Linked DNA regions of Macaca mulatta. The protein of the gene in region 4 interacts with the protein of the main gene of each other region in a biochemical or structural test. Links are inferred from orthologs where the notes say so. Each region holds a gene or a part of one and is shown on either strand. Other genes may lie near its edges.

Region 1 (6,822 bases), on a different chromosome or scaffold from region 4:
GTAGAATGTCCCTCAATCTGGGTTTGTCTGATGTTTCTTTATGATTAAAATTTAGCACATGCATTTTTTGGCCAGAATACTGCAGAAGTAATGTTGAATTCTTCTCTGTGAAACTTACCAGGGCACGTGATCTTTATTTTTCTTATTACTAGTGATAATTCTGATCATTTGATTAAGATGGTATCTGTCAGGCTTTTCCACTATAAAATTCCTTTTCTGTCTGTAATTGTGGAAGATACTTTAAGTCTATCTACTTTCCTATTTCTCCATTATTTTTTTTCCCACTAATTTTAGCATCTGAGAAGTATGTTTGAGACATCTCTTAGGGGTTGTTGAAGATAAAATGAGATCATGAGGGTGGGGCTGAGGTGTGGTATGTGATCACCTGGGGAGAGAGTAGATGGTGAGAAAAGAATCAGAATGTTTATTAGAAAGGCCACTCTAGTGAGGAGTGGGAAGAGTAGAAGCAGGGAGAGGAGCAGAAAAGTCTTTGTTGGTAGTCTGGGTGAAAGATAACCTGAGTGAAGGCACAAGATGGGCTAGAGAGAAGTAAATTGATTAGAAAGCTGCTACAAAGATGGCATCTATAGGACTTACTTTGGTTAGGACCTTGCAGTTTGCAAATCCAGTGAAACCCCACTTCTACTAAAAATACAAAAATTAGCCAGGTATGGTGGCACATTCCTGTAATCCCAGCTACTTGGGAGACTGAGGCAGGAGAATCTCTTGAACCTGGGAGGCAGAGGCTGCAGTGGGCGGAGATCGTGCCATTGCACTCCAGTCTAGGCGACAGAGCGAAACTCCATCTCAAAAAAAAAAAAAAAAAAAAAAGCACAGTACCGAATGGTGAGTGCTGTCACCAGGATATGAACAAAGAGATGTGGGCACAGCAAGGATATTTGTGTGGGAGTAGGGAAGTTCTCCTCTAATAATTCTTTCTTCCTTTTTTTGTACAGAGGAAGAAACAATGGCTGGATAAATTAAATGACTTCATTAAGCCCAACATCTAGACATCGTGAGGAGCATGTTCTTTGAGTCAGGCAGACCTAGATTCTAATCATGTGGCTGTGTGACCTTCAGCAATTTTTTTTTTTTTTTTTTGAGATAGAGTCTTGCTGTGTCGCCCAGGCTGGAGTGCAGTGGCGCTGTTTCGGCTCACTGCAACCTGTGCCTTCTGGGCTCAAGTAATCCTCCAACCTCAGCCTCCCAAGTAGCTGAGACCACAGGTCACAGGTGTGTGCCCCACCACACTCAGTTAATTTTTGTATTTTTTGTAGAGATAGGGTTTCGCCATGTTGCCCAGGCTGGTCTCAAACTCCTGGGTAAAAGCCATCTGCCTTGGTCTCCCAAAGTGCTGGGATTACAGGCGTGAGCCACCACACTCAGCCCAGCAATTGTTTTAATCCCTGTGAGCTTCAGTTTATTTGTGAAACACATAATTTTATCTACTTTGTAGGCAGTTGCTACTGTAGGGTTTATCATAGTAGGGTTTCAACATAATCTTTTTTTTTCTTTCACCCTTCTTATGGCACAGAACACTGTGATATAAGTAAAAAAGAAATCAGAGGTCAAGTCCAGGCGCAGTGGCTCACACCTGTCATCCCAGCACTTTGGGAGTTCGAGGCCAGCCTGGACAACATGGCAAAACCCTGTTTCTACTGAAAATACAAAAATTAGCTGGATGTGCTGGCGCATGCCTGTAATCTCAGCTATTTGTCGGCTGAGGCATGAGAATCACTTAAACACAAGAAGCAGAGGTTGCAGTGAGCTGAGATTCTGCCACTGCACTCCAGCCTGGGTGACAGAGTGAGACTCTGTCTGGAAAAAAAAAAAAAAAAAGAGGAGGTCAGAGAAAGAAAGGAAGGTCAGCATGCCCCTCAAGCAGGGCCTTATGGGGTGCCAGGATTATGGTAGGGTCCCCTATCATCTGGGTTTTTTTCTCTGCCCTTTAGGTCTGAAAAGTTGACACTATTAGAACTTCCAGGACTGACTGGCTTCTTGGGGAGGGACCCATGCTAACAAACTACACGAAATTTATGAATAGTCCAAAATGCAAATTCATTGAATTCTATGATGAACATCTTTCTATAACTGGCTCCCCCTACTTCAGTCTTATGTGTTTATCTTGGAATAGAACAATCAGAAAGTTGTTAATTGAGCACAGAATCTGAATGAAGGAACTTGGATAGTCTTCAGAAATATTTCACCCAGGCTGTGAGAAAAGGCTGATGCTTTCATAACCAAGGACCCTTTTCTAGTAGGCCAAACTTTGCCTCTGCCAGATATATTTTATTGTTGGTGAAAACATATTTCTACTACAATTGCCACCTGTTTGGACTCTATGTAGACTGCACCTTTCTGTTAACATTCATCTTCTCAAATGATATAATCAATTGGATTAGAAGGATCTTAGGTTACACCCTGGTCACCTCTGTCTGAACTTTGGTGTTCCCCAAATCTATACCAGCATTCTTACCAGGAGTAATCTCTAGACGTAGCTGATTTTAACTAATTTAACTCTCAGAGTTCACCAGATTTCCTCCATTTTCTGGAGGCATTTCATCACAGACTTGTTTGTACTACTTTCAATTATCTATACACCCATTGCCCAACAGCACACATCCAATAAATGCCAGTTGAATAAACTGGTGAGAATAAAGGAGGAAACATCAGAAAAGGTGTCAAATAATAAGATTTAAGTATTTTCTGGCCGGGTGCAGTGGCTCACGCCTGTAATCCCAGAACTTTGGGAGGTTGAGGTGGGCAGATCATAAGGTTGGAGTTTGAGACCAGCCTGGCCAACATTCGAGATTTGAGATCAGGAGTTCGAGATTAGCCTGGTCAACATTAGTAGAGATGAAACCCCATCTCTACTAAAAATACAAAAATTAGCCGGGCATGGTGGTGGGCGTCTGTAATCCCAGCTACTTGGGAGGCTGAGGTGGGAGGATCGCTTGAACCCGGGTGGGTGGGGGCGGGGTAGAGGAGGTGGTGGTGGAGGTGGCAGTGAGCTGAGAAGTGCTCCAGCCTGGGCGACAGAGCGAAACTCCGCCTCAAAAAACCAAAAAAACCACAAGTCTATTTTTTCTCTCTATTATTCTACCTGACCTTAAGGGATACTAAGGAAAGGGTGAGAATGGTGTAGGAGATGTAGAACTCCCAGAGATGGGACGTTGAGGAGGAAGAAACACAAGAGCTTTCAGGTTCATCTGTTATATGGGATAAAAGAAAAAAAGAAGAGCTTTCAGGAAAGATTTCTAAGGCCGCTGGAGTCACACCAGCAATTAATGCCTGACAGCAAAGTTACCCTTTCCCGGCTGTTGCTGAAATCTAAGGGATGATGATGAGGTGGACAAGGGAGCGTGGAGAAAAAGATTGAAGGGATATTAAGGAAGCAACTGACTGGACATGCTGAGACAAAGGGAAGAGTAGAGTAGATTTCGGCTTAGTTATCTGTAAGTATGCTGGCGCATTTCAGGAAGAGGGCAAAGAGGGGAGGTTGTTTGCAGGAGTTCGCGTTCGAATAGGCTGAGGTTGAGTTTGAGTTTGAGGTGCTCGTTGGGACAAGTAGTAGGTTGAAGTATTCAGTAAGCAGTTAGGCACAAGGGTCTGAGCTTCTGAAACAAATTTGGATGTTAGTTGAAAGCATATAAATGGGTAAGACTCTTCGGGATAAGTGAAGAATTGGAGATAGAGAAGCAGAATCCAGCTGGACTCGCAGATTTAGAGATGGCATGGGGAAGCAGGATAAGAAAAGTCGGCGAGCTAAGAAGAAAAACGCAGGGCGACATTTTGAAAGCCAAGGGAGTAAGCTTCAAGGCCGCCTCCTGGAGGTCAAGAAGATGACAGATCTAGCCTCGGTCAAACTGAATTCCAAGGAGTGCAGGCGGGTGGGGGTGGGGCGGAGTCGCTGCGGGCGACTTAAGTTGAGGGGCGAGAAAGGAGGCAGCCTTAGTAGTACTTGTATTTTTAAAGGGAATTTGGCTGTGACGAGACAGAAAGGGCGGAACTTAGTAGTTTAGAGCTCAAGGGGATCATTGGCTTCAGAATCCCCTACTCTTGCGTGAGAGTAACTCTCAGTCTACGGATGTCTTCTGCAGTTTCTTAGGGTCCATGTTGGGATTTACCGGCTGTAAACTAAACAAAGCAAAGCAAAACCCCATAGTACAAGACATTTTGTTTGAAAGCCTACTTTCTTTAAAGATCCTGCCATGCAAATAAGGGGCTTTAATGTGGCTCTCAGCGATTGGTAGATACTTACGAAATCCGTCATTTCCTTTCAGGGCAGGATGCAAACCAAGAGGCGGCTTTCTGTTTTTCTATTGGCTGTTGGATACGGCTCCGCTTTTAGCCAATCAAACGACTTCCCTTCACCCCTCCCGGTAGCTCTTATAAATTACATCAAATTGGTTATTCTTTCCACATTCTTCTCCTTGTAAAAGAAGCTGTAACTGCAATTTTAGCCGTAATGTCAGGACGCGGAAAGCAGGGAGGCAAGGCCCGCGCTAAGGCCAAGTCGCGCTCGTCCCGCGCTGGCCTCCAGTTCCCGGTGGGGCGAGTGCACCGCTTGCTGCGCAAGGGCAACTACGCGGAACGGGTGGGGGCAGGCGCCCCGGTGTACCTGGCGGCGGTCCTCGAGTACCTGACCGCGGAAATTCTGGAGCTAGCAGGCAACGCGGCTCGGGACAACAAGAAGACGCGCATCATCCCTCGCCATCTGCAACTAGCCGTGAGGAATGACGAAGAGCTCAACAAGTTACTCGGGGGTGTCACCATTGCCCAGGGCGGCGTCTTACCCAATATCCAGGCTGTCCTGTTGCCCAAGAAAACGGAGAGTCACAAGCCTGGCAAGAACAAGTAATTAAGAGGCTTGACACCATACTCATTCACCCCAAAGGCTCTTTTAAGAGCCACCAAAGTGTCAAATGAAGGGCTGATCACGAAATAGCGCATTAGCTCTTTTTTTGAAAACTTGGGTGGCTCTAAAAAGAGCCTTTGGTCTTTGGTTTGTTTGTCTGCATTTATTTGCTTTTGGCTTTGTGGCTTTCAGTTTTCTTTGGTAACAGAACGGCCTGGATGTTAGGCAAAACGCCGCCCTGGGCGATGGTGACTTTGCCCAGCAGCTTGTTCAGTTCCTCGTCGTTGCGGATGGCCAGCTGGAGGTGACGAGGGATGATGCGCGTCTTCTTGTTGTCCCGAGCTGCGTTGCCCGCCAGCTCCAGGATCTCGGCGGTCAGGTACTCGAGGACCGCCGCCATGTAGACTGGCGCGCCAGCCCCCACCCGCTCCGCGTAGTTGCCTTTGCGCAGCAAGCGGTGCACTCGCCCTACCGGGAACTGGAGGCCAGCGCGGGACGAGCGCGACTTGGCCTTGGCGCGAGCCTTGCCTCCTTGTTTGCCACGACCAGACATGACTGAAACCAAGGTTAAACACAGACAATGCTCAGAACCTCGCTACAAAATAAGCTTGAAAGAGAACCAAGAGGAAAGCCTTTATAAGCTTTCCTAGGGGTGGGGTCTAGAACGAGTTTTTCATTGGTCCTAATATGGCTTCAGAACCGGCCAATCAAGTCAAGAGTCGGTGTTGTTGCGTACGCATTGCTGAAAACGCAAGGTCCGCACACGGACCAATGGAAATGAATGACTTTCGGAGCCCTAATTTGCATAAGGTGGTTATAAAAGAATCAGGCCCGCCCATTCTCTTACTTCTTTTCTTGGCTAAGCCGCGTTTGTACTGTGTCTTACCATGCCTGAACCGGCAAAATCCGCTCCGGCTCCTAAAAAGGGCTCCAAGAAAGCCGTCACCAAAGCCCAGAAGAAAGACGGCAAGAAGCGCAAGCGCAGCCGCAAGGAGAGCTACTCCATCTACGTGTACAAGGTGCTGAAGCAGGTCCACCCCGACACCGGCATCTCGTCCAAGGCCATGGGCATCATGAACTCCTTCGTCAACGACATTTTCGAGCGCATCGCGGGAGAGGCGTCCCGCCTGGCGCACTACAACAAGCGCTCCACCATCACGTCCCGCGAGATCCAGACGGCCGTGCGCCTGCTGCTGCCCGGCGAGCTGGCCAAGCACGCCGTGTCCGAGGGCACCAAGGCAGTCACCAAGTACACCAGCTCCAAGTGAGTCCCTGCCGGGACCTGGCGCTCGCTCGCTCGAGTCGCCGGCTGCTTGACTCCAAAGGCTCTTTTCAGAGCCACCCACCTAATCACTAGAAAAGAGCTTGTTCACTTACTCCCTTAGTTTCTTCTCATAAAGTAATTTTAGCGTAAAGGTCATGGGAAATGCCACACGTAGGTTTTTAACCATTTGGAACTTGAGGTCCCCGGTGCATGATTGGATTTGCTTTTGAATCTAGAGCGTGTCTTCACTCATTGTGCTGCTTAGCATTCCCAGGAGTCGGTTCTCAATTAGGATGTTGGGAATCCGCCTCTTTACCCGCCCCCACTCCCGCCCCATACTGGCGCCCTGGTGGCTTCTTGGGTCTGTTTCATTCTAAAACGAAGTGGCTGAGTTCGGCTGTTATTTAAGAGAACTCCAGGGCACGATTCAGCCCAGGTTCCGCAAACACTGCGTGACAGCTGTGTATGACTGACGCTTGGCAGCACCTTTTGTGTCCGGTCACCAGTTCTGCTGTGCGATGGGGTCTCCTGTGGATACCAGCCGTTCTGTGTATTTTGGACGAAGCCCGCGCAGCCGGGTCCCAGCCTTTTCCTGATTGGGCGACATGAATATTCAAAATTCTGCGCCTCTTTCTAATTTGTAGATTTCAGTTTCCGTCGTTCACTTTGAGACTTTGAAATTCCTATTTCTCGTTTTGTT
Region 2 (8,001 bases), on a different chromosome or scaffold from region 4:
AGGTCCGCGTTACAGGATACTCTGTTGAAAGAAGCCGAGAACACGACGCCTGTCTTCCCTTTACAGATAGGAAAACAGGTTCCCAGGGGGCGTGTGACTTGTCAAAGACTAAGGAGTTAGAAGGGGACAGGCAGAAACAACGTGAGCCTCCTCACAACCAAGACACTTTCGCTGTGGGTTGTGTGAGCCTCCTTAGATTCTGTTAGCGGTTAGTGTGGGAATACCCCCATCTCCCATGCATTCCAGATGCTCTGCTCCTCTCTTTCTGTGTGATTGGTTTCTGGGCTCTGCTTGATATTCTCGTCGGCCCCTTTGTTTCCTTTGGTAGGAGGAGATGGACCTGAAGGTACTACAGTTCAAGAACAAAAAACTGGCAGAGCGGCTGGAACAACGGCAGGCTTGTGAAGATGAACTCCGAGAACGAATTGAGAAGTTGGAGAAGCGGCAGGCCACAGATGATGCCACACTCCTCATCGTCAATCGCTACTGGGCCCAGGTGGATGCCTTCTGCTTTCCAAGACCAGGCCTTGATTCAGCTGCCAATCCCCAGATTCCCCTGCTGGAAAAGGGGTATAATGTTGGAAAGCATTAAGGGATTCATAACATTTTTGATGCTTTCTCCTTCCAGCTGGATGAAACTGTGGAAGCCCTTCTCCGATGCCATGAGGGCCAGGGGGAGCTGTCTTCAGCGCCTGAAGCACCTGGGACCCAGGAGGGGCCCACATGTGATGGGACTCCTCTCCCAGAGCCGGGGACATCAGAGCTGAGGGGTGAGACCAGAGTTCTGGGATCTAGGGAGCTTCAGTTCTGGGAAAAGTCCTGGGGAGGAGGGGACTTTGGTGTTGGGCCTCTGAATTGCCTGCCTTACTACTCCCCACGAAATGGATTTCATGTTTGGGTGGTAAAGTGCAGTGCACAAAAATACAGGCTTTGGACTCTGACTAACTTGGTTTATAGAGCAATTCATGTTTCGACACCCATTTGTTTGAAAACAGTATTACGGTTGAGTGTTAACTATGTATTTGACGCTTTCTAGAAATGGGTACTTGCTCATTGCATTTGCTATGAGGGAGGAAATTACAAACATAGTAAGCAGAAAGTACTGGGGCTCTTGAAAGGGAATAATTGTGTGTGCACACGTGTGTGTGTGTGAGATTCTAATTTTTATTGGGAAAGTACAGGAGGCATCCCTGAGGATGTGATACGCAACTCTGTAGCTTTGAGGAAATTACTTTACCTCCCTGAACCTCATTTGTCTCACTTTCAGGATGGAGATAATAGTGCACTATAGGTTGTGTTGATTAAGTGAGCCATGAATATTGAAGGGCTCAGTCTGGAACTTAGTACAGAGTGGTGGTAACTGCTGCTATTATCCTCATGAGGGTCTGTCCATTCCTTCCAGAGCCCTTGCCATTGCAGCTGCGGCCCCCTCTCAGTGAGCCGGCCTTGGCTTTTGTGGTGGCACTGGGTGCCAGCAGCAGTGAGGAGGTGGAGCTGGAGCTGCAAGGCCGAATGGAGTTCTCTAAGGCAGCTGTGTCTCATGTGGTAGAGGCCTCAGACCGCCTACAGCGCCGGGTGGAGGAACTCTGTCAGCGAGTGTATAGCCGAGGTGGGTTCTTTGTGCCCATACCCAAGAGGTGTCCATCCCTACCTGCATCTTTTTTTTTTTTTTTTTTTTTTTTTTTTTTGAGACGGAGTCTCACGCTGTTGCCCAGGCTGGAGTGCAGTGGCGCGATCTCGGCTCACTGCAAGCTCCGCCTCCCGGGTTCCCGCCATTCTCCTGCCTCAGCCTCCTGAGTAGCTGGGACTACAAGCGCCCGCCACCGCGCCCGGCTAATTTTTTGTATTTTTAGTAGAGACGGGGTTTCACTGTGGTCTCGATCTCCTGACCTTGTGATCCGCCCGCCTCGGCCTCCCAAAGTGCTGGGATTACAGGCTTGAGCCACCGCGCCCGGCCTCCTACCTGCATCTTGATGGCACCCCTTTCCAATTCCCCTAATGCCCAAGTCCAAGGGCGGCCAGAATTCCCCAAGGAATATATCAGCCACGTTCTTGGGAGGGGTAGGTTAGTCTGTAGATGGGGGTTCCAACTTTGATTCCTGGACTGAATGCTAGAGAGATGGGTTGGAGGAGCTGTTGATGCTAGTAGAGCCTCCTGTCCAGAGGCCCCTCTGGAGCACTTTGTGTGGGTTGCAGATCCACAAGGCATAGCTTCAAGGGCTCAGGCCTTGTAGGTTGACAGGCTTCTCCCACTTCAGTTCTGCCACCCTCACCTGGACGTGCTGGGAAAGTGGCTCCCCTCTCTGAGCTGGTTTCCTCCTCTGTGCAGTGGAGATAAAGACTCCTAGCTTTGTCATGAGAAATTGGCAAGACAGCTGGGGGATCACACTGGGCACATAGCAGACTCCAGAATGAGTTAGTTCTTTGCCCCATTGCCCTGAGCTGGACTCTTAACCTGGGCCCTGCTTTCCCAGGGGACAGTGAGCCCCTCAGTGAGGTGGCTCGGGCACGCACCCGAGAGCTGGGCCGTGAGAACCGGCGACTGCAGGACTTGGCCACCCAGCTGCAGGAGAAACACCACCGCATCTCATTGGAGGTGAGGAGCCAGGGGCTTTGGGAGTGGGATTAGAATCAGGCAGGATTTGGGTTAGATGGGCCCTCAGGGACCAAGTCCCCCATCCAAGCATCTGCTCCCTCATTGTTCCCAGTACTCCGAGCTCCAGGATAAAGTGACGTCGGCAGAGACCAAGGTGTTGGAGATGGAGACAACAGTGGAGGACTTGCAGTGGGACATTGAGAAGCTGCGGAAGCGAGAGCAAAAGCTCAATAAGCACCTGGCAGAGGCCTTAGAGCAGGTGGGGCAGGGGTACTGGGGCAGGTGAGGCAAGGCTGGGCCCTTGGGCCCTAGCTCCTCCCCTCCACTTCCATTGCCTGTCTGTTTTCTCTCCACAGCTGAACTCTGGCTACTATGTGTCTGGGAGCTCCTCAGGCTTCCAGGGGGGCCAGATCACACTCAGCATGCAGAAGGTGAGCGGCGTCTTCCTCCCACCCCTTCTCACGACCTCTTCTGTGTTGCACTCTTGAAATTCCCCTCGAGATGAAGGACAAACGTCCATCTCCAAGGCCCTTCTTGGTCACTCCTGCTGCTCTTTCTTTCATGCATTCATATACTTTTTGAGTAGATTTTTGAACACTTAGTGCTAGGCACTAGGCATATTGGGGAGAACAAAATAGAGGTTAAAACTTTCATGGACCAGACAAGAAATAAATAAAAGAATATATCTTTAGGTTCTACTTGTTGTAACAAACAAGAAATTGGTAAAATAGCCTATCATTGTGTTATGAGTACCACAAAGATAAAGCACAGAAGAGAGAGAGAGGAGTGAGTTGGAGTCAGTTGGCATCTGGTGGTCACTGTGCCCTTTTTCCCTTTACTGGCACTTTAGGCCTTCCTGGAATGCTTCCGTGATTCCCCATCAGTTAAGAGCCTTAGTTCTCAACACCAACCATGCAGTATTGAATTTTCTCCCATTTGTCTGGGAGCCCTTAGGAAAGTACTTGGTTTGGGGCATCAGAATCGGTCATTGCCCTGCACGGAGTGCTTGGGCTGGAGTGTTTGCTGGGGATGTAAGGGAAGCCTGCTGCCACACCTGGCCCTGCCTCCCATGGCCCCGCCTCCCACTCCTTAGTTTGAGATGCTGAATGCAGAGTTGGAGGAAAACCAGGAATTGGCCAACAGCCGCATGGCAGAGCTGGAGAAACTGCAGGCTGAACTTCAGGGGGCTGTGCGGACCAATGAGCGCCTCAAGGTGGGCTGCCGTAGGAGCTGAGAAGGCCTATGCCTGTAAGGGAGGGACTGAGCCCTGAATCCTCTTGCTGATCCCATTTGGGCATCCCTGCCCCAGGTGGCCTTGCGGAGCCTTCCCGAGGAGGTAGTGCGGGAGACAGGGGAGTACCGCATGCTGCAGGCCCAGTTCTCACTGCTCTACAACGAGTCTCTGCAAGTGAAGACCCAGCTGGACGAGGCTCGGGGCCTGCTGCTGGCCACCAAAAACTCCCATCTGCGACATATAGAGCACATGGAGGTATGGCTCTGGAACAGGTGTGGGGACTGGGCTAAGGGCCAGACCCTTAGTGTTGAGGTGTTGGTGGCTTCAGAGGCCCTGTGTGCCAGCCAGGGGTCCCTGGGGAATAGATTTTTCGTAAGATACTGAATCCTGAGGTGGGACCGAGGGACTGTGTGGGTCCTTAACACGTCAATCCACAGAGCGACGAGCTGGGGCTGCAGAAGAAGCTGCGCACAGAGGTCATTCAGCTGGAGGACACGCTGGCCCAGGTACGCAAGGAGTACGAGATGCTGCGCATCGAGTTTGAGCAGAATCTGGCGGCCAACGAGCAGGCGGGTATGTGGTGAGGATAGGGCGGAGGTGGGGCCTTATCTGGGAGTGCTGGGCCCTGGTGTGGGGCCGCTGCTTATCCAGATGCAAGAGGCTAAGGCCTTTTTTTCTTCACAGAGCCTGGGCTTCCTATGCAAAACAGGGCCTGCACTGCTTGGCTCCCAGGCACAGTGAGGGTCACGCCAGCTGGGATGGCTGATGGAGCAGGCACATGCAGAGTTTGAGCTGTCAGCCCTGTCCACAGTCTTCTGGTCTGATGATGTCTCTCTCTCTCAGATACCTGTGTTCCAAAGATTTATCAGATGCCACCTATGAGCCAGGCTCTGTTCTAGGGTTTGGGGTTATGCCAGTGAACAAAACAGAATTCCTGCCATGTAGAGCAACATTCTGATAGAAGACAGACTAGAGAAAGACGAACTAGTAGAAGAAAAGTAGAAAATGTGTTAGTTCCTGACAAATACAGTAAGGAAAGTAAAGCAGAAAAGGATGATAGGAAGTATCAGGAGAAACGGTGTTGCAATTTTGGATAGGTGGCTAGGGAAATGCAACTGGGAAGGTGATGTTTAAGAATCTAAAAAAAGTTGGCCGGGCGCAGTGGCTCAGAGCGCCGTAATCCCAGCACTTTGGGAGGCTGAGGCGGGAGGATCATGAGGTCAGAAGATCGAGACCACCCTGGCTAACACAGTGAAACGCCGTCTCTACTAAAAATACAAAAAATTAGCCGGGTGTGCTGGCGGGCGCTAGTAGTCCCAGCTACTCGGGAGGCTGTGGCAGGAGAATGGCGTGAACCCAGAAGGCGGAGCTTGCAGTGAACGGAGATTGCGCCTCTGCACTCCAGTCTGGGTGACAGAGCGAGACTCCGTCCCCCCTCCCAAAAAAAACAAAAAACAAAAACAAAGAATCTAGAAAAAGTTGACTAACTTTTGTGAATGTTACAGTTACCTTCTCTATTAAAGGGAATTGGATGTATTAAAAAAAAAAAGAAAAAAGAAAAAACATAGGCCAGGCATGGTGATTCATGTCTGTAATCCCAGCACTTTGGGAGGCCAAGGTGGGAGGATCACTTGAGGCCAGGAATTTGAGACCACCCTGGGCAACAAAGTGAGACACTGTTTCTGTTTTAAAAAAACAAAAAACATGTTCTACATTAGCAAAAGTCATATGAATAGGCAGTGTCAAGTTACTTTTGGGTGAGTTTTCTTGAAGTCAGCATTATTTACTTTGGTGAGTTCATGCTCAGTTGAGGCCGCAGTGTTCCCCTCCTGCACAGTGGGAGTGATGGCATAGCCTCTTCCCACACTGAGGGGTTGGAGCCCTAACCCAGGAACTGGTTCTGACACCCTTAATTCCTGGTGCTTCTCCAGGGCCCATCAACCGTGAGATGCGCCACCTGATTAGTAGTCTTCAAAACCACAACCACCAGCTAAAAGGGGACGCCCAGCGATACAAGCGGAAGCTTCGAGAAGTACAAGCTGAGATTGGCAAGGTAAGAAGGGGCCTGCCTGGGAAAAGCTTTGGCTAGACTCCAATGAACAACATCTGACTTCATCCTTCTTCCTCTCTGCCTTTGCAGCTCCGGGCCCAGACCAGTGGCTCTACCCACTCCACCCCCAACCTGGGCCACCCAGAGGACTCTGGCCTCAGTGCCCCAGCCCCAGGGAAAGAGGAGGGTGGGCCAGGCCCTGTCAGTACCCCCGACAACAGAAAGGAAATGGCTCCAGTGCCTGGCACCACCACTACTACCACTTCAGTGAAGAAGGAGGAGCTGGTCCCCTCTGAAGAGGATGTCCAGGGCTTAACCCTTGGGGCCCAGGGCCCTTCCTCCCGGGGCCGAGAACCCGAGGCCAGGCCCAAGCGGGAGCTTCGGGAACGAGAAGGTCCTGGCTTGGGTCCTCCACCTGTAGCCTCCGCTCTCTCAAGGGCCGATCGGGAGAAGGCCAAGGTGGAAGAAGCCAAGAGGAAGGAATCAGAACTCCTCAAGGGTCTCCGAGCAGAGCTCAAGTGAGACTGTATTCCTGTCTCCTTCCTGACCCTGCCAGGTGGCCTCCAGTCCCACTCACCAAGACTTCCTCCTGTACCTCCTTGCCAGGAAGGCCCAGGAGAGCCAGAAGGAGATGAAACTGCTGCTGGATATGTACAAGTCAGCACCTAAGGAACAGCGGGATAAGGTGCAGCTCATGGCAGCAGAACGCAAGGCCAAGGCCGAGGTGAGGGCAGCTGGGGCTTGTGGGACATGCAGAAAGGCAGAACAGAGTCCTAGGTCAGCAGGAAGCAGTGTCAAGAGAGTTCCTTTTTCCCTGTGCTGTAGGTTGATGAGCTGCGGAGCCGCATCCGGGAATTGGAGGAGAGGGATCGAAGGGAGAGCAAGAAGATCGCGGATGAGGATGCCCTGCGGCGCATTCGGCAGGCAGAGGAGCAGATAGAACACCTGCAGCGCAAGCTGGGTGCCACCAAGCAGGTGCGGCCCCTGTGTTGCCCTCGCCTCCGAATGCAGAGAGATCCCTTCAAACCCTGTTGGGTGCCTGTAGTGCCTGCAGCACCTTGATGATCTGGGTCCCCTCTGTGGTTCTTTGCTTTGCTGCGTTTTCCCATGGTTCCCCCATAGCCATCCTGTCCACTTCCCATGTTCCATCTTGTCTCCTCCCACTTGCTGCAGGAGGAGGAGGCTCTGCTCTCAGAGATGGATGTGACAGGTCAGGCTTTTGAGGACATGCAGGAACAGAATGGGCGGCTGCTACAGCAGTTGCGGGAAAAGGACGATGCCAACTTTAAGCTGATGTCAGAGCGGATCAAGGCCAATCAGATTCACAAGCTGCTGCGGGAGGAGAAGGATGAGTTGGGCGAGCAGGTCCTTGGCCTCAAGTCCCAGGTATGGCCGCCCCCAGCTTATAGGGTGGAGCTGGAGAGGCGGGGGTCATGCCCCTGAGTCCTCCTCTGGTCCTTAGGTGGATGCCCAGCTGCTGACTGTGCAGAAGCTGGAGGAGAAGGAGCGGGCCTTGCAGGGCAGCCTTGGGGGTGTGGAGAAGGAGCTGACGCTGCGCAGCCAAGCCCTGGAGCTCAACAAGCGGAAGGTGAGGCTGGGCCAGGGGGACACACAACTTGGGCTGCTGGCTCACCTCCTCACCTTCCGGTTCTGCTCAGAGCACCCAACGCGATAGCCTAAGATGAAGCCAGGCTGTCACAGAACAGCTCACACATCCTGAACATTTACATGCGCCAGGCCACATGCTGAGTGCTTGACATGCTTGGTCACATTTCAGTCTCATTAATCCTATCAAGATGGTGTTTACGGGTTTGGGGGCTCACGCCTGTAATCCCAACACTTTGGGAAACAGAGGCGGGAGGTTTGCTTGAGGCCAGGAGTTGGAGACCAGCCTGGGCAACATAGTGAGACTCCCATCTCTACAAAAAAATTTTAAAATTAGCTGATTGTGGTGGTATGTGCCTGTAGTCCCAGCTTCTCAAGTGACAGGCTGACAGGTGAGAGGATCACTTGGAGGTTGAGGCTGCAGTGAGCTATGATCACACCACTGCACTGCAGTCTGGGTGACAAGGATGAGACTCTGTCCCTAGGAAAAAAATAAAAGGTGGAAATTTTTTTTTT
Region 3 (8,001 bases), on a different chromosome or scaffold from region 4:
CTTAACCTATTTTAAGTTGGATATTTTACCCTCCAAAATTCCTACAAAGTTTAAGGGGTAACCATGGTGTACAAAAAAAATCATCTAAGTAGGGAGATTAGCTTTTGTATAAGAAAACAAAATTTCATTTCAGATCACACATATGGTCCAATATTCTATATCTAAAGAGTTTTAGAAGAGAACATCTTAAGTTGCCATCACTGATGAAGGATAAGACATACAACAAATGTCTTAGTTACTTGTAAGTCTGCATATAAAATCCAGGGAATGCAGGTATCTTATCCCACAGTGTCATTTGCTTACAACAATCATTATTTCTTTCTCTGCTTCCAATTCCATCTTGGGTCCTATATCTATCTTAAGTCTTACAGAATTGACTGCAACTCAAAATCAGAGGAAATCAACAAGTATCACTGGATACCTTTATATAAGGCAAAATAAAAGATTCAAAGGAGTCCCTGATATGTATAACCTTGCAATCTAATTTGGTTGATAGACAAAAAGACACAGTAAGGTAAGAGATATATGATAGATTAATAAAACATTAAAAAGCTGTAAATTTTAGCCTCACATTTTAGCTTCCAACAATTAAGTAGAACCCTTGGCCACCTAATTTCTGCACCCCACTTTAGCATACACATCTGTTCTTCTTTCCTGCTATCCTTTATCAGTTAGTTACTTCTATTCTTACTGTAATTTTACAAACAGGCAAATAAATGACTAGGAAGACTGAATGCATATGTGAATGTGATAATCTCCCTTTGCTCTGGGTCAGTAGGTCATTTTCCACCTATCTCTCCTCTAAGAGCGCTGTTTCTATACAAGCAAATGACACTTGTGAAAATATTTATGTAATGTATGAGAACGAACTTTTTTTTTTTTGAGATAGGAGTCTCACTCTGTTGCCCAGACTAGGGTGTGGTGGCGCAATCTTGCCTCACGGCAACCTCCATCTCCAGGGTTCAAGCGATTTTCCTGCCTCAGCCTCCTGAGTAGCTGGGGCTACAGGCACCCGCCACCATGCCCAGCTAATTTCTGTATTTTTAGTAGAGATGGGGTTTCACCATGTTGGCCAGGCTGGTCTCGAGCTCCTGACTTTAAATGATCCACCCACCTCCGCCTCCCAAAGTGCTGGGATTACAGGGGTGAGTCAACCCTCAGGGCCAAGAATGAACTTTTGATAAAGAAATGAATCATAACATTTAATTTTGGATTCATAATTATCTGTTTCTATTAATTCATTTATAAAAACTGCCTATTTGTATTTATTGATATCTAATTTATAAATAATTACCTTCACAAATTCCATAGCAAAGAGTTTTTTGTATTCCATCTCCATAAAAAAACTGCTGAAGATCAATTCATGAAGGATCTTACGGGCACCTATAGATTATTTTGGGGAGGGTGGGGGAATGAGGGGAATCACCAAGGCAAAAACCAAAAACATTCCATCTATTAGAGTGGCAGAATATTATAAAATTATTTCACATGCAAACAGACCTCAAATATAAACAGTATTTATTGTATTAATATTTAATAACTAGAATTTAAAATACACACATATATTGCCTTTTCCCTTTTTTTCTGTACCCCTCCCACCACTTCATCTTACACTTCAATTGATTCTCTCTCAACCTTTTCATTCTTTTTCTATTTCACTCAAAAGTACTCTTACTCTGAACTTTTCCTTCTCCATGCTTTTAGCCTTTCTCTTGACTTTTACACTTTGTTCTTCATTTAGATTTTTACAATGAAAAGAGCTTTTTTTTTGCCACTCAACAATGGCATTACTACTTGAATTTATAGATACGTGTGTGTGTGTGTGTGTATATATATATATATATGTATATACTCTTTTTGACTGGCTCTCACTAAATGAAAAGACTCTATAATTAAAAGATAACATCCCTGCGTTTTAACACCAAAGAATACATACTGACTGGTTAAACTTGATATTCACATGTAATACCTTATCAATCAAGATCACAGATTTAATAACTAATTTAATAAACAAAAGATATTACAGCTCCACTTTAAGATCATAATCTTCCTTTGCTTCCTGACAAAAAGCATAAGCAAATGTCTACTTACCTTTATAAAGCTTTGCATCCCAAAGCATTAACCTGCTTATGAGACAGGGATTCTCTGAGTCAGGTTCTTCTCTAAGGCATGCTTGGCAAAAGATCTGCCTAAAGTCACCTACAAACAAAAGAGGTCACACAATTACACAACTTGTATTCTTTTTCTTTTTACATAGAGATGAATCTCACTCTGTTGCCCAGGTTGGTCTTGAACTCCTGGGCTCAGGTGATCCTCCCGCCTCAGCCTCTCACAGTGCTGGGATTACTGACACAAGCCACTGCACTCAGCCATAATTTTTATTCTTATAATATTTATCCTAAAAATACATTTCCTATAACATGTGAAAAGACTAACATTAATCCTCCCACATTTGATGTAAAGAATAATTCTGTCAACATCAAAGACTCAACAGTCAACAAAAAGGTATTATTTGATACTATGCACTTGAAATAATATCTTAAGATATTATGCATTTGAAATGCAACCCTGAAAATTAATCAAAGTGTATAAACCAAAAAAAAAAAAGAAAAACTGTATTTCATACTCGATGACATTTTAAAATTTGTGACTATAAAAAACACAGTATTTTATCAGAAACAAGAAAAACAGGAGGTATGCTTACTTGAATAGCTCATAATTTTGTTCATCCAGGAACCAAGACGCAAAGCAAATTTCTGATGAGCCATAATCTCTGAGTGTAATACTTCTACATGAAGTGGATGTTGAGAGACATTTTCTGAATGACTCTACAAATGAAGGGAACAAACCAAAAAAATAGCATTTAAAATTTGCTTTTAGTTAAGGCATTTATACTTTAAAAAAAGAAATCACATAACCCTGCCAGTTCCAAATCTCTGCATGTAGGTGCCCCAAACCACTTCAACAACATCATCACTCAAATTATTCTACTTGGGCTCTTGTAATGTACATTTGTCTTTAACTTCTCTTTTTCCCCTGAATTCAGAAAGTTACCTTTATATCTTCCTTTGCTTCCTGGCAAGCAGCATAAGCACCCGCTTTAACAGCCCGACGACCCTAATTATAGACAAAAGTGACAATTAGGTAATGAAATGATAACCACAATCAATAAGCAATATGTAGCCCAAAGACTTAATGAGCTCTTAATTACTAATCACGTGTCGACTAAACGTTGTAAGATACTGAAACAATACCTGAAAGACAGATGCAAATGTTTAACACCTTTATGAAGCTTGAAAACTTTAATATATCTAGGAGAGACATTCTATAATTTAAGATGCTGAGTTTCTTGCCTGGCAAGAATGGTAGTTCTTTAGTTACTGAAGTGTCCTCTCTACTTGTATGAAACAATGACTCAGGCTTTCTAAACTTCTGCTGTGTGTTTAAAATATTTTTCAAGAATGAATTCACAGTTCTTCAACACGTATCCTATAATATACTTGTGGCCCATTAACGACCTGGAAGTATAGCTGGACTACTGATTCCACCAGTCCTGGAGGCGCTCATGCAAGGTCTATGTAGGATTTCCTTGTAGCGTATTCTTTTATTCACCTGTAAAAATTTATCATTTTCTACGTGTGTCATGTGAAAAAAGTCAGGAAGCACTGTCTTCCTCATTTAACCTTTACAATGACCCTATGAAGAAGGTATACCCCATTTACAGATGATAAAAAGAAAAATAAGACAGAAGTTAATTTGTCCCCAAATCAGAAAGTTAGCAAGTGACAGATTCAGAGATCCATGACAAGCATTTCATCTCCAGAGTGTGCACTTCTAACCATCTTGTAATATTCCCTCTTTAGCTCCTTAGTACATAAGCATAAGAACTATCCAAATATATTTGGACTACTAATTACACCAGTAAGGTTGCCATTACAGAAGAAAAAAATGCACAAAAAGCCAGGCCATAAGAGATTGTTGAAAGAACACATAAGACAAGAATAGTTATATAAACTTGAGCTCAATCAGCTTATATGTATGTGATGCTGGCAATTAACCTAAAGCACTGGATCTCAATAAACGGGGGGAGGAAAACCACCTCATATCCACATTTTTTGGCTGCTATCAAAAAATAACAAGGGAGTTTGCTGACATGGTGGATGGGAGGCAGGACTAGATTGGAGCTCCGACTCAGATGGACGGAGGAGCACACAGAGGCTCACATCATGAATTTTAGCTTCAGAACGACTGCAAGAACAAACCAGGAATCCAAAGAGGACCCACAGACCTTCTGAAGCAGGGGACTGCTCCTGCAGGACCTGGGAGACACCCCAAATACTCAGTCCCACCATCTTTCCAGAGGAAAAGAAGTCATTATATGAAAAAGATACTTGCACACACATTTTTAGCAGTTACAATTCGCAATTGCAAAATCATGGCACCAACTCAAATGCCCATCAAAGAGTGGATAAACTGTGACATATCTATATATACACACATATATACACATACACATACATACACACACAAACACACATATATGTATATATATACACACACGTATACACACACACACACACACACACACACACACAGAGGATGGAATACTACTCAGCCATAAAAAAGGAATGAATTAATGGCATTTGCAGCAACCTGGGTGAGACTGGAGACTATTATTCTAAGTGAAGTAAATCAGGAATGGAAAACCAGACATTATATGTTCTCACTGATACGTGGCAGCTAAGCTATGAGGACGCAAAGGCATAAGAATGATACAATGGACTTTGGGTACTTTGAGGGAAGGGTGGGTGGGGGAAGAGGGACAAAAGACTACAAATAGGATGCAGTGTATACTGCTGGGGTGATGGGTGCATCAAAAATCTCACAAATCACCACTAAAGAACTTGCTCATATAACCAAATACCACCTGTACCCCAATAACCTAGGGAAAAAAGTATTGACAAGGATGTGGAGAAGCCCTTGTGTATTGTTGGAGAATACACAAAATGGAGCAGCTACTACAGAAAACAATATGGTGGTTCCTCAAGAAATTAGAAATAGAATTCCCATATGATCCAGCAATTCCACTTGTGGGCATGTACCCAAAAGAACCGAAAGCAAAGACTTGAATGGACTTTTGTGGATCCATGTTCATAAGAGCATTATTCACAATAGCAGAAGGTGGAAGAAACCCAAGTGTCCACTGACAAGATGAACAGGCAAACAAAATATGGTGTGTGTGTGTGTATATATACTGTATACAGTACAATACTGTACATATATGTGTATACACATATATACATATATATACACACACACCACATATACCATATACATATACATGTCATATAGTTGATAAAATATGGATAAACTTTGAGGACATATATGTTAAGTGAAATAAACCAGTCACAAACAGACAAATACTGCATGATCTCACTTGTATGAGATATCTAAAATAGTCAAGCTCTTAGAAAGTAGAATTGGTGGTTGCCAGGGGATAGAGGGAGGGGAAAAGGGGGAATTGTTCAATGGATATAAAGTTTCAGTTTTGCAAGACAGAAAAGTTCTAGAGATCTGTTGCATGACAAGATAGTTATTACTGGTATATGGTACATCTAGAAAAAGATTAAAATGATAAATTTTATGTTATGTAGATTTTACCACCATTAAAAATTTTACTGATTGACTGGAGATGGGGTCTCACTCTGTTGTTCAGGCTGGAAGGCAGTGGTGTGATCAAAGCTCACTACAGCCTTGAACTCCCAGGCTCAGCCTCCTAAGTAGCTGGGACTGCAGGAATCCAACAAAAATAACCTTTCTTAATGATCAAAAAATACACAGGTGGGAGTAGATCAACTGAAGGGAGGCAGTGTTTTCAAAAGAGACAGGCATTTCTTTCCTATTCTCTTCCCCACACTCCCAATTCTGATTTCCTAGGCTTGGGTTGGCATGTCTACTCCGAAAAAAAAAAAATTCTTTCCAAGTATTTCTAATAGGTTACCTTTATCCTCACACTATAGCTGAAAGCACAGAACTACAAGTGTGTATCTTTAAGGATTTATAAAACAGACTAACTGCAACACAGTTTCTTCTAGCCAAAGAGTACATTTTTCACCTTAATTGGATGTACAACATTATCTCATGTCCTATTTTACTTTTTGAATAATCATTTATTAAAAAGCTTTTCTTGCAATCACCATCACCTTATGGAGCCTTGGGATCCCAAAACAAGACAACCTATCAGTAGATAGATTAGCTGTAGCTACAGGCCTTCTCCACTTTGACTGCAGAGGAGAGCAGTAACAGGAAGAAATGCTAGGAGGAGATAGGGCAAACACTGGGAGACACAGATCTTTCCATTCCATATGAAAACCGACAAAGCACAGCCCCACGCTTTCGCAAGTCAATTCTCCTGGGACACCGGTTTATCCTACCGGTATGTATCTTTTCAGAGTCCTAAGATCATGACAGCTCACAGTAATCCTACCACAATAATAGACCTTATTATCTACCAAGACTTTCTCTTATAATCTGCAATATTAACCTTGTACATAAGACGGCAAAAATGTGACCAAGGAGCCGGGTGCAGTGGCTCACACCTGTAATCCCAGCACTTTGGAAGGCCAAGGCGGGCAAATCACCTGAGCCCAGGAGTTCAAGACAAGTGTGGGCAACATAGTGAGACCCTGTCTCTTAAAAAAAAAATTATTTTTTTAAAAATATGAACTTAAAAAGAGCACCATTACATCTTTAAATTTTTTCTTGAACGCCTGTTTCTTTCTTTTATTAATATTTTTTTTTTTTTTTTTTTTTTTTGAGACGGAGTCTGGCTCTGCCACCCAGGCTGGAGTGCAGTGGCCGGATCTCAGCTCACTGCAAGCTCCGCCTCCCGAGTTTACGCCATTCTCCTGCCTCAGCCTCCCGAGTAGCTGAGACTACAGGCACCCGCTACCTCGCCCGGCTAGTTTTTAGTAGAGACGGGGTTTCACCGTGTTACCCAGGATGGTCTTGATCTCCTGACCTCGTGATCCGCCCGTCTCGGCCTCCCAAAGTGCTGGGATTACAGGCTTGAGCCACTGCGCCCGGCCACTATTAATATTTTTTGAGATGGAATTCTGTTCATTGTTGCCCAGGCTGGAGTGCAATGGAATGATCTCGGCTCACTGCAACCTCCACCTCCTGGGTTCAAGGGATTCTCCCGCCTCAGTCTCCCCAGTCGCTGGAATTACAGGCATGCACCACCACACCTGGCTAATTTTGTATTTCTAGTAGAGACAGGGTTTCTCCATGTTGGTCAGGCTGGTCAAGAACTCCTGACCTCAGGAGATCCGCCCGCTCAGCCTCCCAAACTGCTGGGATTACAGGTGTGGGCCACCGTGCCCGGCCTTTGAATGACTGTTTCTTTCATAAGAACAGTAGAGAATAATTCTTTGAAGGCAGATTCTATCTAATTCATCTTGGTATTTCCTCAAAGAGCTTTAATAAATGTTTAGTGAACTCACTTAGAGTGTGTATCTTTAAGGGTTTGTAAAACAGACTGTTTTATACATTTTAAGAAAATCTTTGATAAACTATTATTTACCCGGGGGAGGAGGTTGAGAGAAGGAAATAGAGTTTGATCAGTATGAGGTTATTATCATAGGACAGCTGAAGAAAACAGAAGAAAACAAACATAACAGTTTTTTAAAACTATTCGATGGGTTGTCATCTGAAAGCAAAATAAAGAGCTTTTCTGGTTTGTTCTATAAGAAATTAGTCGGAAAACACATGGAGACAGATTTTGGCTGAAAACAGGAAAAAAAGTTTTCTAAGAATGAGAGTTGTCCAACAAGCAAAGCAGTCAGAGAAACAAACTTTCTAAGTGCTAAAAGCACAAGTTAGAGGACCAGCGATATTGTGCTCTCAATATAAGGATGGCCAATTTCACTGGTTTTTCACTATTTCCTATCTTACATCTTTTTTTTTTTTTTTTGAGACAGAATCTCGCTCTGTTGCCCAGGC
Region 4 (8,693 bases):
AGTTCCAGTGGGGCTACGGAACTCTGATACTACTTCGTTGCTTAGCCCCGCAAAGATCAGGCCACTCGCTACCATGGAAACGCCAGCAGAGTTGCTGCGTTCTAGCCCTCGTGCGCAAGACCGGAACATGGGCAGGGTCCTGACCCGGAAGGGGAAGTGAGAAGAAACGGAAACCTGCTCTGGGTAGGCAGAGGGTGGAAGAGTGCTGCGCTTGGGAATGGGGGCGGGGAGTACAGGTCGCTGTCACAGCTGAGCCTCCTCACAACGTTGCTTTTGAATGGGGATAGGGAGGGTCTGCCTTTTTTTGTTGTTTGCTTTTTTGAGAGAATTGTGCAGTGGCGCCGATCTCGGCTCACTGCAACCTCCTTCTCCCGGGTTCAAGTGACTTTCCTGCCTCATCCTCCCGAGAAGCTGGGATTACAGGCGTGCGCCACCACGCCCGGCTTTGTATATTTAGTAGAGACCGGGTTTCTACTATGTTGGCCAGGCTGGTCTCGAATTCCTGACCTCAGGTGATCCGCCTGCCTCAGGCTTCCAAAGTGCTGGGATTACACGCTTAAGCCACCGCGCCCGGTCAAGATGGTTCTTAAAAACTTTTCTTGAACACCTGCCATACGCCTTTAAATTTTTTCCAACTGCTGTTTTTTAAAGGAAAAAAACTCCCTCACCACGTGTCAAACTCTAGGGAAGCAAGTAATTCGAAGGGTTCCACCATATACGAAATGATGTACAAGAGCGCAGAAATAAAGAGGCCAGTGTTTAACTGCTTAAGTAGACATAGAGTTCAGCTGGAGTGACAGTCCCTAATGAATAACCACCGTATCACTAGAGCAAGTGCCTAGGGAGTGCTTTCTTTATTGAATAGGGCTTTCTTTGCTTTTTTTCTATAAAATGAGTTAAATGTAAAAAGCGAAATCTCGCCATGCTTCCACTAAATAAGAGAAAAGGCAATACTTAATAAATTCTAGTCCGGTGGGTACCGCCCCAGCATGCATATTTAAATCACACTTGGAGAGCTTTTAGAAAGCAACTCCCAACTCCCACATCCACACCCCCGCCCCAACACCAGAGAGCCTGACTTAATTGAGATAGGGTAAATAAATTAGTATGTTTGAAGCTTCTCAAGTTTTCTATGCTGCTACGGTTTATATTGAGAGAAAGGAGAAGTGGTCATCGTTTTCACTGATCACCTAAAATATTCAGAATTGTCTTATTTGAAAGTTATTCAGCAGGATGCGGTGGCTCACGCCTGTAATTGAACACTGTGGGAGGCCGAGGCGGGCGGATCACGAGGTCAAGAGATGGAGACCATCCTGGCTAACACGGTGAAACCCTGTCTCTACTAAAAAATACAAAAAATTAGCCGGGCGCGGTTGTGGGCGCCAGTAGTCCCAGCTACTCAGGAGACTGAGGCAGGAGAATGGTGTGAATCCGGGAGGCGGAGCTTGCAGTGAGCCGAGATCGCCCCACTGCACTCCAGCCTGGGTGACAGTGAGACTCCGTCTCAAAAAAAAAAAAAAAAAAAAGAGAATGTTATTCAACCACAATATAAAACACCTTCTATAAATAAGAATGTCATAGTAAATCTTATAGTGGGTTCAAACTTCGTGTAAGCATATTATTTGCTGTGGGCAAAATATTTGCAAGGAGGCTGCGCACAGTGGCTCACACCTGTAATCCGAGGGAAGCCAAGGTGGGCAAATCACTTGAGCCCAGGAGTTCCAGACCAGCCTGAGCAACAGGGCAAAACCCCGTCTCTACAAAAAATTAGCCGGGTGTGGTGGTGCACACCTGTGCTCCTTGGGCAACTGAAGGAGAATTGCTTGAGCCTGGAAGGTCAAGGCTGCAGTGAGCCCTCTTCACACCACTGCACTCCAGCCTGGGTGACAGAGCAAGACTCTGTCTCAAAAAATAAAAAAACATTGCCCAGGACAAAGATGAACCAAACTCAGTCCCTGCCCTCAATGAACTCATAATCCAGAGCTACAGAATTGATAACAGCATACAATTAATAGCTTTAAAATTATTCCTTCTACAAGTAGGTTATGGCAGGCCTGGTTAACCAGAACAGCCAGTGATTCTTGCTAATACACAGCTGTAAGACTTTATGATGCACATGCACTGAATTAGTTAAAAGTGTTAATTCATTTTGGAAAATTTAAACTGTTTCCGAAACAATTATAAATCCCTGTAGTCACGGAATTCCTAAATTCCATTGCCTCCAGTTCCCATCTTTAGGACTTTGTTGGTGCGTCAGGAGGACTCAGCACTTTTGTATCCATTCTTCAGCTCAACAAGGAAAGGGAGGTAGGAGAAGGACCTCAGCATTGCCCTAATCTTGCCCATAGTTCCATGGAACCAGAAAGGGTTAACTTTTCCCACTTTCCTTGTACCTCCCTTTTTTCAAACCCTGAATTCTGTCTCTGCTTTCAGTGACTGCCTAGACTGATAAATTATAAGGGTTTTTTGGTTGTTGCAGGGTTTGAGACAGGGTCTCAGTGGCATGATGATGGCTTACTGCAGCTCAAACGATTCTTCTGCCTCAGCCTCCTGAGTTGCTGGGGCTACTCGTGTGCACAGAGACAGGATCTCCTATGTTGCCCAGGCTGGTCTTCAACTCCTGGCCTCCCAAAGTGTTAGGATTACAGGCATGAGCTAATGCCCCAGCTCATGAGGGATATTTTTAAGATATAGTTTCTATTTACCATTTTTCTCCATGTAACCCTGCCTGTGTGTCTTCCTCCTTTGCTATTGGAAGGGTTAGGACTGCAATGGCAGAAAAGCAAAAACATTAAGAATATTCAGCTTTTAACTTAGAAAACACATTGTGAATGTCTAACAGGACCTATCAAGAGTTAGGCCTGGCTAACTTGATCACTAAGGCAGTCACTGGAAGCTGAGAGAATTCAGGGTTTGAAGAAAGAGGTACAAGGAAAGTCGGAAAAGTTAACTCTGCTTCCATAGAACTAGGGGCAAGGTTGAGGCAATGCTAAGGTCCTCATTCCACCCTCCCTTTACCTGTTGAACCGAACAATTCCCCAAATGGATACAAAAGTACTCAGAGTCCTTAGTATAACAAAGTCCTGAAAGTAGGAATTAGCAGCAATACAGGGAAAGACAGTAACTACAAAAAATATTCAAGGTCTGTGGGAGGTCAACACCTCTGAACCCCCTGGTGGTGGGGGGGCACTTCTCGCCCATTTGCACCTTTCTTGCTAGTGTAAAAAACCTGAAGTTGTCTCAGGCTGGATAGATAACCCTCACTCAGGTCTGCTGGAGCTCTCCCCCACATATGAATCATATTTGTAGGTTTCTTTGACAACCAACCACTCATTGATATGCTTGGAAGACTGCACCCCCACATTCTTAAAAATACAATGGTACTCCCCCCCATAGGCAAGTCCCCGGACTCTGACACATATCTTCAATTGAAAGCAGACCCAGAAAGGAAAAACTGCATAATACACCATCCTTTAATGTTTGCCCAGAATTTCCAATACTAGAAACCCCACTGCAAAGCAGAAAGACTATTTGGTAGCTTCAAGGAACCATTTCAGGAGATTGTTGTGTGGCCCTCAGTATTCAATGCTGCCTTAGAAGATCTTGCGATCCTCTCTCTTCTTGCCCCAAGTACCAGAGTTCATAAGCCACTGAACCAACCAGAGGGGAGTTATTTTTGGTCCCGGTTTAAAGAAAACAAAACAAGCTGTTGATCCTCCCACGACCTCTTGGGTAATGTCTCTATACCTGTGATAAACCGAAAACAACTAATAAAGGTGTATCCAGCCCTCACCCTCTTAGACCCGCTTCACAGACCTGGCCGAAACTCACATCCAGGCGAGGCTCTCACGTGACCCGTTCTAAACGCGTCACAGGGACACGTGGTTCTAGATACTTCTCCCCCTCCCCCTCAGGGGTGGATTGTTGACAAGGCCGCGGGCAGTCACGTGATCTTACATCATCCCACCTCCTTTCCCTGAAATCCCTGGCCCGGATACGTCCTTCTTTCTCCACCCCGCCGAGCCTAAACTAGAGACGGGGAGGCAGACAGGATAGTGTGTCGGTTTCGTGGTCTCTGAATCCACAACCTCTAGTCTGAACACAGAGAACACAAATTTGTCGATCACTTCAGGAAGCCCAGGAAGAACCACGCCCCGCTGAAGGGCTCAGGGAACGCGCGCTCCCCCGTCCCGCCCCCTCCTCCCCCAGCACTCACTCTGTGGTAGCGGCGGAGGGCGGAGGGATCCGGAGGCGGCGGAGGGAGACGTCATTGCAGGGTTGTTTGTCAGTCTTGGCGGCGGCGGCGGCGGCGGCGGCGGCAGCGGCGATCCACAGTGATTCGGCCGCCGCGCCGGGGGGTGGGGGGGCTGCGCGGGACTCTTTTCTTTCAGACTGACCGCGGGGCAGCTGCGGAGCATGTCGACCCCGGCCCGAAGGAGGCTTATGCGGGATTTCAAGCGGTAAGGGCCTTCAGCTTCGCATAGATGACGGCCTCTCAAAGCTGCGGGGCTGCAGGGCGTGGATCCCGGACACCTTCCCCTTGTGACCCTCAGAGGGTCGGCTGTGGGCCCAGGGGGACTGGCGGAAGCCGGGTCCTACCTCGGCCCCTACTCTCCTTATCCTTGCCGCTCGCTCTGGCGCCCGAAGAAATTTCGATACTGCTTCCCCTCCCCCCAAAAAGTAAAACGATGTCGATCGACTGGTCTAGGGTTCCCCGCTGCCCATTTCGGCCAGCTGCCCGGGGTCTCGTCCAGGGGATCAGACGGGGATCAGACATCATCCTCCCGCCCCTGCACCCTGCGGAGACCCTTTCTTGTCCCCTCAAAGTGAGCTCCCGCGGGAGCTTGTTCTTCTCCGGCAGCACCAGTCAGCTTTGTTTCAAGGCCCCTCAGTCTTCTCCGAGGAGCCGGGTTGGGGTGAACCTCCCCAGCCCCCCACCCCCGCCAGTCCTTTCCATTTCTGCCGTGAGGGTGGGGTCCAGTGCGTGAGGCTCGGAGGTTAACCCATCCCCCGAAACCCGACTCTGTCCCCGCCCGCCTGAAAAGACCTTGGGAACTGACTTAGAGATCTGGGACCTTAGAGCTGGCCACCCCGGCTGCCAGTGCCTTCTGGAACTCAGATCTGGCTGGTGAAGAAAGCCCTATCTATAGCCTCCCGAGTCTGGAAAAATGCCTTCCCTTAGACTGGCGCTAATTTGATACTCCCTGGGCCTTCTTTGGTAAATAAAATAGGGTTTTGTTAGGAGGTATTGGGGTTGTGAGGAAGAAAATGATTATTCCGTTAGTTTACCTTTTATTGGATACTTAGAGACGTAGAAAAAACAAAATAACGTAGAAAAAACAAAATAAGTGAGAAAACATTTTGATATTCTGCACATTTTTCTTAAAATTTTTTCTGGGGACACCTACCCTAATTGAACAAAATAGCATAAAAACATAGATTTGTCGCTCAGGAAGTCACCTCTCAGCTATTATAAAGCCTATGTGAGGCATTTGGATTTGGCCAACTTATTTAATTCATTCGTAGCTTCTCTTAGCCATTTAAAGGTAGGCGTCAAGCAGTGCAGTTCTTCTAAGGCTTCTGTTTGTGGTGGCCTAATTTGCTTGAGATTGACTAAAAACCTTTTTTTTTATGTGGACTAGTTGCAAATTATGATGCCCCATGAAAACAACTCCATATGTATTTGTGAGTGTGTATAATGTAGCATTTTTAAATTGAGGTTACAGTCTCTGAAAGGAGATGCCCTTTTTGGTGCAAAAGTCATTTTTCTAAAGCTTGAAATCAGTGTATCTGATTAGCACTCATGACTAAAATTCAGATAGTAAACTAGTTCATGTCATTGTCGCCCTGGCTCCTTACTGTAATGCTCTGCTTAATTCTGAGTTGAATACATGGCACCTTTTGTAGTTTTCCAGAGATCTATAGGTTACAAGAATTTGACTATGACGAATGTGGGAAAGCCTTGTATTGAGTCTCCTGATTTGAGAGGTAGATTTGATGTTAGTGCAGAGCCTTTAAAATAGGGACTGGCGGAAAACCTACTGATTACTTTTTAAAGCCATTGCTGTTTGAAGCAAAAGGGATAGAGTAAATCTGCTGCCTAATACTAGTTTCCTAGTTAAATTTAATGTGTTTTCAGTCATTTCGTGTTTACACTGAGGTTTGCTTTTTTTTTTTTTTCTTGTAGCCATTTTGCAGAAGTAGCCGTGGTTAGGATACACAGTCTTTGCATGTTTAGAGCAGCAAAATCAATGGTTCTGTAAAAATATTACTTGCTTTTGAGGTTTTAAACTTTTTTTGGTATAAGAGGACAGTCTATATACATCAATTCTTGAAGAGATACTCTTGATAATATTGAAAGAGGGATGATTCTCAAGCCCTTCGGATTTTTAGGTAATTTGGAGAGGTATTTAATAAGTATATATACCTGGTTAATATATCTAAGTCATATGGTTCATTTTAGTTCACAATAACAAGGAAATGGAGTTAGTCTGTGTCTCAAAATAGATGGTGTAGTGTCTGTAGGTGTTTATGTGGCCTCCTTAGTGGCCTTAATGTTCAACTTTTTAAATTACAACGCTGGATTTCTAGGTTACAAGAGGACCCACCTGTGGGTGTCAGTGGCGCACCATCTGAAAACAACATCATGCAGTGGAATGCAGTTATATTTGGGTGAGTTGAAAGGTTTAACAAATAATAGGTGTGTGCTGAATCTTTAAGAAAAGTGAACATATAACAACTGTCTAGGAAAAGAAACTGAGGTAGAATGAGAGATCTTAAGGACTAAAACTGCAAGATAAATTAGAAAAAAATTTTTTTCAATTAGAGTTTTGGCCCAGCACAGTAGCTCAACGCCTGGGAGGATCGCTGGAGCCCAGGAGTTCATCACCAGCCTGGGCGATATAGTGAGACAGTGAGACTCTGTCCCCTCTCCACCAAAAAAAGAGTTTTGGCCCAGTCTGGGCAACATAGTGAGAGACCTTGTCTCTACAAAAAGTATAAAACTAACTGGGCATGGTGGTGCCCAGCTACTTGGAAGGCCGAGGCAGGAGGATCACTTGAGCCCAGAAGTTTGAGGCTGCAGTGTGCCACTGCACTCCAGCCTGGGCAGCCAGCTATCCAAAGAAAAAAAAAAAAAAGGGAAAAAGTTTCAGCAGTTATACAAAGTTTATTTGCTCTTTGATGTTATTACATATGGTTTTATAATCACTTGGGGTTTTACTTTTAAGATACTACTCAAAACTAAATGGAATGGAATAATAAGGAGAAACAATACATTACTTTGTATAAAACATATCATGCAAATGCTCTCATTCTGTTGGAGCTGTTAAAAGGTTTGGAACCAAAAATATTAAGAACTTCCACTGCTGCAAGAATTTAAGTGAAAATGATTCACAGCCCAGTGTAAAATAACAGAATGCAGCCATTTGAGAAGCAGCTGTAAATTTTACCTACTATATATATTGCATATATGCTTTTTAATTTAAAATTTCCTTATGCTTTTTTTTGTTTTTTCTAGACTTGATCTATTTTTTTCTTTCATTCCTTTGATACTAGAGTTTTGCATTAAAAAGTAAAAGGAATAGGTTGATAAACAGAATTCTGACACTACAGAATCAGCTACAAGAGTCTACATTTAAAGACTAGTGGAAAATGAGTGAAGTTCATCCTCATAAAGTACTTCTGAATCTGAGTTGAATACATGGCACCTTCAGGATATTATCCTGCTGCTTTGAGATCCTGAATATGCCTTGCAAGTAATAATTAAGCTTTATGCTGCTGCTTAGGAAAGATGAAATTGGGATGTGGGGGCAAGGATCTGAGCAAACAAATCTGGCTCTTTGGTGACATCAACTATGCTTAGCCTATTTGAACAAAAGTTGTGGCTCCATTGGAAAGCAGGACACTTGGGTTTAGCATCATAACTAGAGTATTGCTTTACTTCTTATTGCTGTAAAATGAAAAGATGACTTTCCCTCTTAAGAATATACATGTGGGCCAGGTGCAGTGGCTCATGCCTGTAATCCCAGCACTTTGGGAAGCTGCGACGGGTGGATCACCTGAGGTCAGGAGTTCAAAACCAGCCTGGCCAAGATGGTGAAACCCCATCTCTACTAAAAATACAAAAATTAGCTGGGCGTCTGTAATCCCACCTACTCGGGAGGTTGAGGCAGGAGAATTGCTTGAACCTAGGAGAAGGAGGTTGCAGTGAGCCAAGAATGTGCCATTGCACTCCAGCCTGGGGGACAAGAGCAAAATTCCATCTCAAAAAAAAAAAAAAAAAAGAATATACATATGTACAAAATGACTGGTCAGCATTAATGAAAGTTTTTAGGCCGGGCGCGGTGGCTCAAGCCTGTAATCCCAGCACTTTGGGAGGCCGAGACGGGCGGATCATGAGGTCAGGAGATCGAGACCATCCTGGCTAACCCAGTGAAACCCCGTCTCTACTAAAAAAGTACAAAAAACTAGCCGGGCGAGGTGGCGGGCGCCTGTAGTCCCAGCTACTCAGGAGGCTGAGGCAGGAGAATGGCGTAAACCCGGGAGGCAGAGCTTGCAGTGAGCTGAGATCCGGCCACTGCACTCCAGCCTGGGCGACAGAGCGAGACTCCGTCTCAAAAAAAAAAAAAAAAAAGTTTTTTTGTGCTAAAATTATGGGCAAGTTTTTTTGTTTGGTTTTGTAAAACCACCCT

What was found.
Region 1: of the proteins of UBE2B (region 4) and H2AC20, one has a biochemical effect on the other in vitro, tested with the Homo sapiens proteins (2 studies listed by BioGRID, with this or other methods). The link is inferred for Macaca mulatta from reciprocal best matches to the Homo sapiens genes UBE2B and H2AC20.
Region 2: the proteins of UBE2B (region 4) and RNF40 form a complex in vitro, tested with the Homo sapiens proteins (3 studies listed by BioGRID). The link is inferred for Macaca mulatta from reciprocal best matches to the Homo sapiens genes UBE2B and RNF40.
Region 3: the proteins of UBE2B (region 4) and UBR1 form a complex in vitro, tested with the Homo sapiens proteins (2 studies listed by BioGRID and IntAct, with this or other methods). The link is inferred for Macaca mulatta from reciprocal best matches to the Homo sapiens genes UBE2B and UBR1.

The regions. Positions count from the first base shown.
Region 1 is NC_133406.1:117,259,860-117,266,681, forward strand, and holds H2AC20 (histone H2A type 2-C), read right to left. Parts: upstream 5,469-6,822; 5' UTR 5,412-5,468; coding exon 5,022-5,411; 3' UTR 5,002-5,021; downstream 1-5,001. Other genes in the region: H2AC21 (histone H2A type 2-B), read left to right, coding at 4,469-4,861; H2BC21 (histone H2B type 2-E), read left to right, coding at 5,746-6,126. UniProt on the Homo sapiens protein: Core component of nucleosome. Nucleosomes wrap and compact DNA into chromatin, limiting DNA accessibility to the cellular machineries which require DNA as a template.
Region 2 is NC_133425.1:29,387,374-29,395,374, forward strand, and holds part of RNF40 (E3 ubiquitin-protein ligase BRE1B), read left to right. Parts: exon of another isoform or gene 1-208; intron 209-328; coding exon 329-496; intron 497-628; coding exon 629-770; intron 771-1,402; coding exon 1,403-1,609; intron 1,610-2,474; coding exon 2,475-2,596; intron 2,597-2,708; coding exon 2,709-2,855; intron 2,856-2,952; coding exon 2,953-3,027; intron 3,028-3,689; coding exon 3,690-3,809; intron 3,810-3,905; coding exon 3,906-4,085; intron 4,086-4,267; coding exon 4,268-4,403; intron 4,404-5,761; coding exon 5,762-5,883; intron 5,884-5,970; coding exon 5,971-6,398; intron 6,399-6,486; coding exon 6,487-6,604; intron 6,605-6,705; coding exon 6,706-6,855; intron 6,856-7,053; coding exon 7,054-7,266; intron 7,267-7,342; coding exon 7,343-7,468; intron 7,469-8,001.
Region 3 is NC_133412.1:20,456,566-20,464,566, forward strand, and holds part of UBR1 (E3 ubiquitin-protein ligase UBR1), read right to left. Parts: intron 3,118-8,001; coding exon 3,055-3,117; intron 2,829-3,054; coding exon 2,705-2,828; intron 2,200-2,704; coding exon 2,092-2,199; intron 1,384-2,091; coding exon 1,295-1,383; intron 1-1,294. UniProt on the Homo sapiens protein: E3 ubiquitin-protein ligase which is a component of the N-end rule pathway. Recognizes and binds proteins bearing specific N-terminal residues that are destabilizing according to the N-end rule, leading to their ubiquitination and subsequent degradation.
Region 4 is NC_133411.1:143,287,533-143,296,225, forward strand, and holds the start of UBE2B (ubiquitin-conjugating enzyme E2 B), read left to right. Parts: upstream 1-3,994; 5' UTR 3,995-4,416; coding exon 4,417-4,460; intron 4,461-6,591; coding exon 6,592-6,672; intron 6,673-8,693. UniProt on the Homo sapiens protein: E2 ubiquitin-conjugating enzyme that accepts ubiquitin from the ubiquitin-activating enzyme E1 and transfers it to a E3 ubiquitin-protein ligase. In vitro catalyzes 'Lys-11'-, as well as 'Lys-48'- and 'Lys-63'-linked polyubiquitination.